2 linked regions of the Cricetulus griseus genome follow. The protein of the gene in region 1 purifies or fractionates together with the protein of each later gene. This does not show direct contact. Links are inferred from orthologs where the notes say so. Each region holds a gene or a part of one and is shown on either strand. Other genes may lie near its edges.

Region 1 (4,382 bases):
TGAGGTACTTGTGACGTAATGATTTTGAAATGCTGTTAAATTATCTCTAGGTTTTTGTACGGGAAAAATGATTTTCTGTGGTTAAAGCAGGAGAAATTAATACATGCTTTTGAAAGGATTTATTTTATGATTCATGTTCTCTTTATCAGTAATACTACATTGTTATTTCCTTTACTCAGTAATGCAAAAGATAAATAGGTTAATCTTTGCCACCACTATTGTCTGGCTGTCAGTTTTTACCTACATTCTTGTCTGGAAATATATTTGTTGTTTTTAAAAATTATAAATGCAATGCATACTTATCCATCAAATTGAAAATCTGATAAAAATAGAAAATAAGAATTATTCACAATTTCAGCTCTAATTGTTACCTTTACTGGAGTACAGCCTTTCAGATTTCTTTTCCACACAGGCTACTAGCTTTTTGATCAATATCTACATGCCTGTATTGTTTCCATTTGTTTAGAAAAAATATTAACCCATATTAAATACCATCTATTATTTTCTCGTCACTACAGTGCATTTTGATGTACACTTTTAGAGACACTTAATATTACATGAATTAGCCACCATCTTTTAGATACAGGGATTATTTTATTGTATGGCACTATCGTAGTATGTTTGAGTAATTCTATGTTTTACACACACATTGAAAATATCTAAACACTGTTTTTAAATGCTACGTTATTAATATACATCATAATATGCTTTTTTGAATCGATTAGGTATTTCTAAACAAAGGTGCAAATATTCAAAATGTTCATTTGTATTTTCAAACTGCCGTATTACAATTCATACTACAACTAGCATGAGAGTGCATTTTCTCGGCTCCTGGTCAACAAGATTTAACATTCTCTTTCATCTTTGCAAATATGATAAAGTCGAAGTAAAATCTCATTGTTTTTATTTGAATCCCTTTGATTAATAGCGAGCACAATCATATTTTAGAAGCCTGCTGGCCGTTTTTTCGCTTCTTTTGTAAAATGCTCGCTCCCGCCATGCCTGCCCTTCCCCCATCCGGGTGTTCGTTTTCCCTTTTTGCTTTGTCAGAGTTCTTTACTATTCATTTTTCGTCCTTTGCATGGGATCGGTTCAATTCAGGCTTTCATCCTTTCACTGCCTCCCAGATTGCGAACCCACATTCTCCATTGGTCTTTCAGGGGCTGCTAAAGAAGCTGCCTCCCTCTTCCTCCTCCCGGCCTCCTCCCTTCCCCCTCTCCTCGCCTCGCCTCGCCTCGCCTCGCCTCGCCCGGGTCCCCTCGCTTTCTCTTCCAGCCTCCTTCTCTTCCCCCTCTCTTTGTTTATTTCTCTCTCCCTCCTTTCCCCCCCTCTGCAGGCCAGGAGTTTTGCACTCGGCCGAGCGACTGTGGCTGGGCTGGCGCCGCGTCAGCAGGGGGCGGGGCCGGGCCGGGGCGGGGCGGGGCGGGAGCGCGGGCACCGCAGCTGCAGGAGTTGCTGGGAGTGCGCGCGGACAGATCACAAGGCGGCGGCGGAGAAGGCCTGGAGACCTGCTCGCTCAGCGCTCGGCCGCGGCCTACGCCAAACCCTGTGCGCATCCGACTACCGGGAGCTGCAGCCTCCATTCATCTCCGAGGTACTGTGTTCCGCACTGCTCGCGGGGCCGCCCAGTCCTCTGCTGCGGCGCCTCCTTCCTTCCTCTTTCCCTCGCGCCCTCTCGCTCGCCAGCGCCTTCCCTGCCAGCCTGCGTCACCGCGGCCGCCATGGCTGAGAACGGCGAGAGCAGCGGCCCCCCGCGCCCCTCCCGCGGCCCTGCCGCTGCGGCCCAAGGCGAGGCCACCGAGCCAGCCGAGCCCAAAATCATCAAAGTCACTGTGAAGACCCCCAAAGAGAAAGAGGAGTTCGCGGTGCCCGAGAATAGCACCGTCCAGCAGTTTAAGGAAGCGATTTCTAAACGCTTCAAATCGCAAATCGATCAGCTCGTGCTGATTTTTGCCGGAAAAATCTTGAAAGATCAAGATACCTTGATGCAGCATGGCATCCATGATGGACTGACTGTTCACCTTGTCATCAAAAACCAGAACCGCCCTCAGAGCCAGTCCACCACGCAGCCTAGCACCACTGCGGGAACATGCACGACCACCACCACCACCACGGCCGCAACAGCGCCAGGGGCGCCAACGGCGCCAGCGTCGACAACGGCTCCCAGGAGTCTCTCCACACCTTCTCTCACGAATAACAATCCGTTTGCGTCGGGGACCCTGGGAGGACTTGCTAGCCTTAGCAGCCTGGGTCTGAACTCGACCAGCTTCACTGAGCTTCAGAACCATATGCAGCAGCAGCTCATGGCTAGCCCTGAGATGATGATCCAGATCATGGAAAATCCCTTTGTTCAGAGCATGCTTTCGAATCCTGATCTGATGAGGCAGCTCATTATGGCCAATCCGCAGATGCAACAACTGATCCAGAGAAACCCAGAGATCAGTCACCTACTGAACAACCCAGATATAATGAGGCAGACTCTCGAAATCGCCAGGAATCCTGCCATGATGCAAGAGATGATGAGAAATCAAGACCTGGCTCTCAGTAATCTCGAAAGCATCCCAGGTGGCTACAATGCTCTGCGGCGCATGTACACTGACATTCAAGAGCCCATGCTGAATGCCGCACAGGAGCAGTTTGGGGGTAACCCCTTTGCCACGGTGGGGAGCAGTTCCTCAGGGGAGGGCACCCAGCCTTCCCGCACAGAAAACCGGGATCCACTGCCCAATCCTTGGGCACCAACGCCAGCTACCCAGGGCTCTCCGACCAACACCACGACCACAAGCAGTGGCACTATGCCTGGCGGTAGCTCCTCTAGTAGCACCTTCGGGAACACCATGGCGGCAGCTAATTATGTTGCTAGCATCTTTAGTACACCAGGAATGCAGAACCTGCTGCAACAGATAACTGAAAATCCCCAGCTGATTCAGAATATGCTGTCTGCACCCTACATGAGAAGCATGATGCAGTCGCTGAGCCAGAATCCAGATTTGGCTGCCCAGATGATGATGAGTAGCCCACTGTTTGCTTCAAATCCTCAGCTGCAAGAGCAGATGCGTCCACAGCTCCCGAATTTCCTGCAGCAGATGCAGAATCCAGACACGCTTGCGGCCATGTCAAATCCGAGAGCGATGCAAGCGTTAATGCAGATCCAGCAGGGGCTACAGACACTAGCCACTGAAGCACCTGGCCTCATTCCAAGCTTCGCTCCAGGTGTGGGGGTGGGAGTCCTGGGAACCACCATAACCCCTGTGGGCCCAGTCACTCCCATAGGGCCCATGGGTCCTATAGTTCCTTTCACCCCCATAGGCCCTATTGGGCCTATAGGACCCACTGGCCCTGCAAGCTCTCCTGGATCCACCGGCACTGGGGTCCCCCCTGCAACCACTGTGAGCAGCTGTGCAGCTACTGATACCATCAGTCCGACAATGGAAACTTTACCCAGCCCGCAGTTCATTCATCAGATGGTGCAGGCTCTGGCAGGAGGAGGAGCAGGACCAACTCCTGCCCAGATGGCGAGTGCAGAAATGAGATTTCAGCAGCAACTGGAACAGCTCAACGCCATGGGGTTCATAAATCGTGAAGCAAACTTGCAGGCCCTAATAGCAACAGGAGGCGACATCAATGCGGCCATTGAGAGGCTGCTGGGCTCTCAGCCATCGTAATTACATTTCTGTACCTTGAAAAAATGTATCTTATTTTTGATAATGGCTCTTAAATCTTTAAACACACAAAATTGTGCTTTACTTTTATTTTGATTCTTTTAAATCTGTCTACTTATAAATCTAAAAGGATGCATTTTAAGGTGGAGTCCCTCCCTTCTTTCCCTTCCTGCTCCTCCTCCTCCCGCCACCCTCCCTCCCACCCTCTCTCTCCCTTCCCTTCCAGCCTGCCCTCTCCCCTCTTTGTTTCCTTCCCTCCCTTCTTCTTTCCTTCCTTTTCTTCTTTGGATTTCCTTCCTTCTCTGATTTGAATGGTGGGGATCAATGCTGTTTCACTCAAAGGTGTTGCATGCAAACACTTCTCTTTATTCTGCATTTATTGTGATTTTTGGAAACAGGTATCAGCCTTCACAGTTGGGTGAACAAGTTCTGTCCTACAGATGTCCAGTTTATTTGCATTTTAAACATTAGCCTATGATAGTAATTTAATGTAGAATGGAGATATTAAAAAAGAAGCAAATTATTTGAAGCTCTCTAATTTGTGGTAAAATATTGCTTATTGTGACTTTGGCATGTATTTTTGCTAGCAAATGCTGTAAGATTTATACCATTCATTGGTTGTTTTTGCTATTATTTGTACACAGTACAGTAAGCACAATTGGAGTTGTACATCTAGAAGTATTACTGTAGAATCTCTGAGCAGAATATGTGTAACCAAAA
Region 2 (3,648 bases), on another chromosome or scaffold:
CATAAATTCAAGCTCAGGAGCCTTTATCTTTCTTTGATTCTACATTGCTTATTGCCCTTCAGTTAGGTTGGCTTTGGAGGGAGCTAGCAACACCAACTTTAGGTTTTCTTTGAGACTTAGCTTAGATCACATGGAAATTTTCAGTATAGAAACAAGTATATTGTGAATTTTATTGGTGAACTTTGGGGACAGTGATCTTACTTGTGTATTGTCACATACTGTTTTCCTTGAACTGTTGGGTTTTGCCTTAAAAAGATTGGTTTCTTTACAGTGTTTTGCTGCTGACATCATATCTGTTTTGGCCATGACCATGAGTGGTGAGCGTGAATGCCTCAAGTATCGGCTAGTGGGCTCCCAGGAGGAATTGGCATCATGGGGTCATGAGTATGTCAGGTAAGGTAGTTTCTTCTTGGGAACGTGAAGGACTTGTAGGCACAATTCTGTTGGTTTGGGAAAATAGCAATGCATTCAATTCCCCAGAGTCTCCCAGGGACCTGCTTCCCTAATGATTGTGTTTGTCCATAGACATCTGGCAGGAGAAGTGGCTAAGGAGTGGCAGGAGCTGGATGATGCAGAGAAAGCGCAGCGGGAACCACTGCTTACCTTGGTGAAGGAGATTGTCCCCTACAATATGGCTCATAACGCGGAGCATGAGGCTTGTGACCTGCTCATGGAAATTGAGCAAGTAGACATGCTGGAGAAGGACATAGATGAGAACGCGTACTCAAAGGTCTGCCTCTATCTCACCAGGTAGGCGAGCATGGCACAGGGCGGCAGCAGGCTTGCCTTCTAAAGCACTGCTTTCATTTTGCCTCTTCTCCCAGAGGATCTTAGGGTCACCTTAGGCTATAGTCACTTGCTGATGCCATGAATTTCTTGAGGACAGAAACTTTGTATCTCCTTAACTATCTTGAAACATAGTACCTTGGAACATGCATTTAGTATATATTTGAATAAAGGAATTAAATAAATGAAATGCACTTTCTGAATTTTTATCTCTTTTGCCTTTTTGTAGTTGTGTGAATTATGTACCAGAACCTGAGAACTCTGCCCTACTGCGCTGTGCCTTGGGTGTGTTCCGAAAGTTCAGCCGTTTCCCTGAAGCTCTGAGATTGGCATTGATGCTCAATGATATGGAACTGGTGGAAGACATTTTCACCTCCTGCAAGGATGTGTACGTAGAGAAGTTGGTAAAGGAAGAGATAAGTTTGTGCATGAGCATTTGTGTGAAAATCAGGGACTTGACAGTTTCTGGTGGGAGCACAGGACACTTTTCTGTCCCACGGTAGGTGAGAATGAGCAGGTGTGTAGGTGAGAATGAGCAGATGTGATGGCTTTCCTCACAGGGTGGTACAGAAGCAGATGGCATTCATGCTGGGTCGCCATGGAGTCTTCCTGGAGCTGAGTGAAGATGTAGAGGAGTATGAAGACCTCACAGAAATCATGTCCAATGTACAGCTCAACAGCAACTTCTTGGCCTTAGCTCGGGAGGTGAGATTCTCTGCTCTTGACCTAAAGCTTTTGTTGAAATTCTACCTGTCATTCTGTCTCCCTAATACCTTTCACTAGACTCCTGGTTAAAGTTGTTACTCATTTGGGCAGCAGAAGGGACAGCTAGGGGAATACTGGGGAGGCAGTTGTGACCCTCTGGCTTCTTTTTAGCTGGACATTATGGAGCCCAAGGTACCTGATGACATCTACAAAACACACCTAGAGAATAACAGTGAGTAGCTCTGTGTGTGGGTTGGAGGGACTATTGCATTGGGAATAATGGCTTGGCTAAACCACTATAAAGAACTTCAAATTCCCATGAACTTATGTCCAGGACACTGTTGGAGACTTAGACTATGGGACTAACTTAAAATCAGAGACTCAGGCTGGGTAGTGGTGGCAAATACCTTTCATCCCAGAACTTGCTAGAGGCAGAGGCAGCAGATCTCTTAAGTTCAAGGCCAGCTTGGTCTATAGAAGTTCCAGATACTCAGGGCTTCACAGAGAAACCCTGTCCTGGAAAACAAAACAGAAAAACAAAAACAAAATCAGGGACTGCCTACCAGGTTGTGTTCCTTTCAGGTCCTATGCTAAACTGCCTCTTCTATATCCCCTTGTACAGGGTTTGGTGGCAGTGGCTCTCAGGTGGACTCTGCCCGAATGAACCTGGCCTCCTCTTTTGTGAATGGCTTTGTGAACGCAGCCTTTGGTCAAGATAAACTGCTGACTGATGATGGCAACAAATGGCTTTACAAGAACAAGGACCATGGTATAATTTTCTCTTTTTGTCATAAAGTCAGGTGTTACTTGAGAAGGACCCACAGTACAGTTTCCAGGGGACTCCTTTATAAGTTCCTTTGGGTAGGCCTTTCTAAAACTGATAGTCTTCCTTGTCATAGGGATGTTAAGTGCTGCTGCGTCCCTTGGCATGATTCTGCTGTGGGATGTGGATGGTGGCCTCACCCAGATTGACAAGTACCTGTACTCCTCTGAGGACTATATCAAGGTTAGTCTGGGCAAAGCTAATTCACTGTGGACTTTTTCTTCTCATGTTCTTCTCATGTGCGCCCCCCCCCCCCTTATGAGGTGGCTTAGTTACTTTCTATCTCTGTGAAGAGACTCAATGACCAAGACAACTTACTAAGTATTTTAGCTGGACAGTGGTGGTACATGCCTTTAATCCCAGCACTGGGGAGGCAGAGGCAGGTGGATCTCTGTAAATTTGAGGTCAGCCTGGTCTACAGAGCAGGTTCCAGGACAGCTAGGGCTACAGAGAAACCTTTTTTCTAAAAAACAAAAGAAAAAAGAAAAGAAAGTATTTAGTTGGGGGCTTGCTTATAGTTTCAGAAAGTCAGCCCATAAACATCATTGTGGAGAGCATGGCAACAGCAGGCAGGAATGGTGCTGGAGCAGTAGCTGAGAGCTCACATCTTATCTGCACGTGGGAGACAGGCACTGGTCCTGTCCTGGGCTTTTGAAGCCTTGAAGCGCACCTCCAGTGACACACTTCCTCCAATAAATCCACACCTTCTAATCCTACCCAGAACAATTCGACCAACTAGGGACCAAGCATTCAAATATGTCAGTCTATGAGGACCATTCTCAGTTCAAACCACCACCTGAGTCATGCCCAGTTTTTCACCCCAGGTAAGGCAGGTGCCACAGAGAGGTCCTGCTGCACACTTTGTAGTTAAGAGTCTGCTTGCTCTTTGCAGTCAGGAGCTCTCCTTGCCTGTGGGATCGTGAACTCTGGGGTCCGGAATGAGTGTGACCCTGCCCTGGCACTGCTTTCAGATTATGTTCTCCATAACAGCAATACCATGAGACTTGGTTCCATCTTTGGGTAAGGTTTCCTGCTGCTCTTTCCTTATTTATTTTTAAATTCTTAGATTTCTGAGACTGCTTCTCTTTCTGTTAGTGCTCAGCTTATAAACTCTAGAGAAGTCATTGCCAAAGACTACCATTTGCCATTAAGTATCTGGCTCTTGGTGAATGTGTTGGTGATCGGTTCTATTTTTGTTGTTTTTTGCTGTGTCCCTGACACAGCTGGGGCTTTATCTCCTGACTTTGTAGTCTAGGCTTGGCTTATGCTGGCTCCAATCGGGAAGATGTCCTAACACTGCTGCTACCTGTGATGGGAGATTCCAAGTCCAGCAT

What was found. The genes of interacting proteins can lie anywhere in the genome.
Region 2: the proteins of Ubqln2 (region 1) and Psmd2 purify together in Homo sapiens (affinity purification with mass spectrometry, with the first as the bait; 3 studies listed by BioGRID). This does not show direct contact. The link is inferred for Cricetulus griseus from reciprocal best matches to the Homo sapiens genes UBQLN2 and PSMD2.

What each region holds. Positions count from the first base shown.
Region 1 is NC_048604.1:111,414,219-111,418,600, forward strand, and holds the start of Ubqln2 (ubiquilin-2), read left to right. Parts: upstream 1-1,448; 5' UTR 1,449-1,721; coding exon 1,722-3,665; 3' UTR 3,666-4,382. UniProt on the Homo sapiens protein: Plays an important role in the regulation of different protein degradation mechanisms and pathways including ubiquitin-proteasome system (UPS), autophagy and the endoplasmic reticulum-associated protein degradation (ERAD) pathway.
Region 2 is NC_048597.1:67,989,452-67,993,099, reverse strand, and holds part of Psmd2 (26S proteasome non-ATPase regulatory subunit 2), read left to right. Parts: intron 1-271; coding exon 272-393; intron 394-525; coding exon 526-750; intron 751-1,015; coding exon 1,016-1,174; intron 1,175-1,346; coding exon 1,347-1,491; intron 1,492-1,662; coding exon 1,663-1,723; intron 1,724-2,113; coding exon 2,114-2,260; intron 2,261-2,390; coding exon 2,391-2,497; intron 2,498-3,206; coding exon 3,207-3,334; intron 3,335-3,564; coding exon 3,565-3,648. UniProt on the Homo sapiens protein: Component of the 26S proteasome, a multiprotein complex involved in the ATP-dependent degradation of ubiquitinated proteins.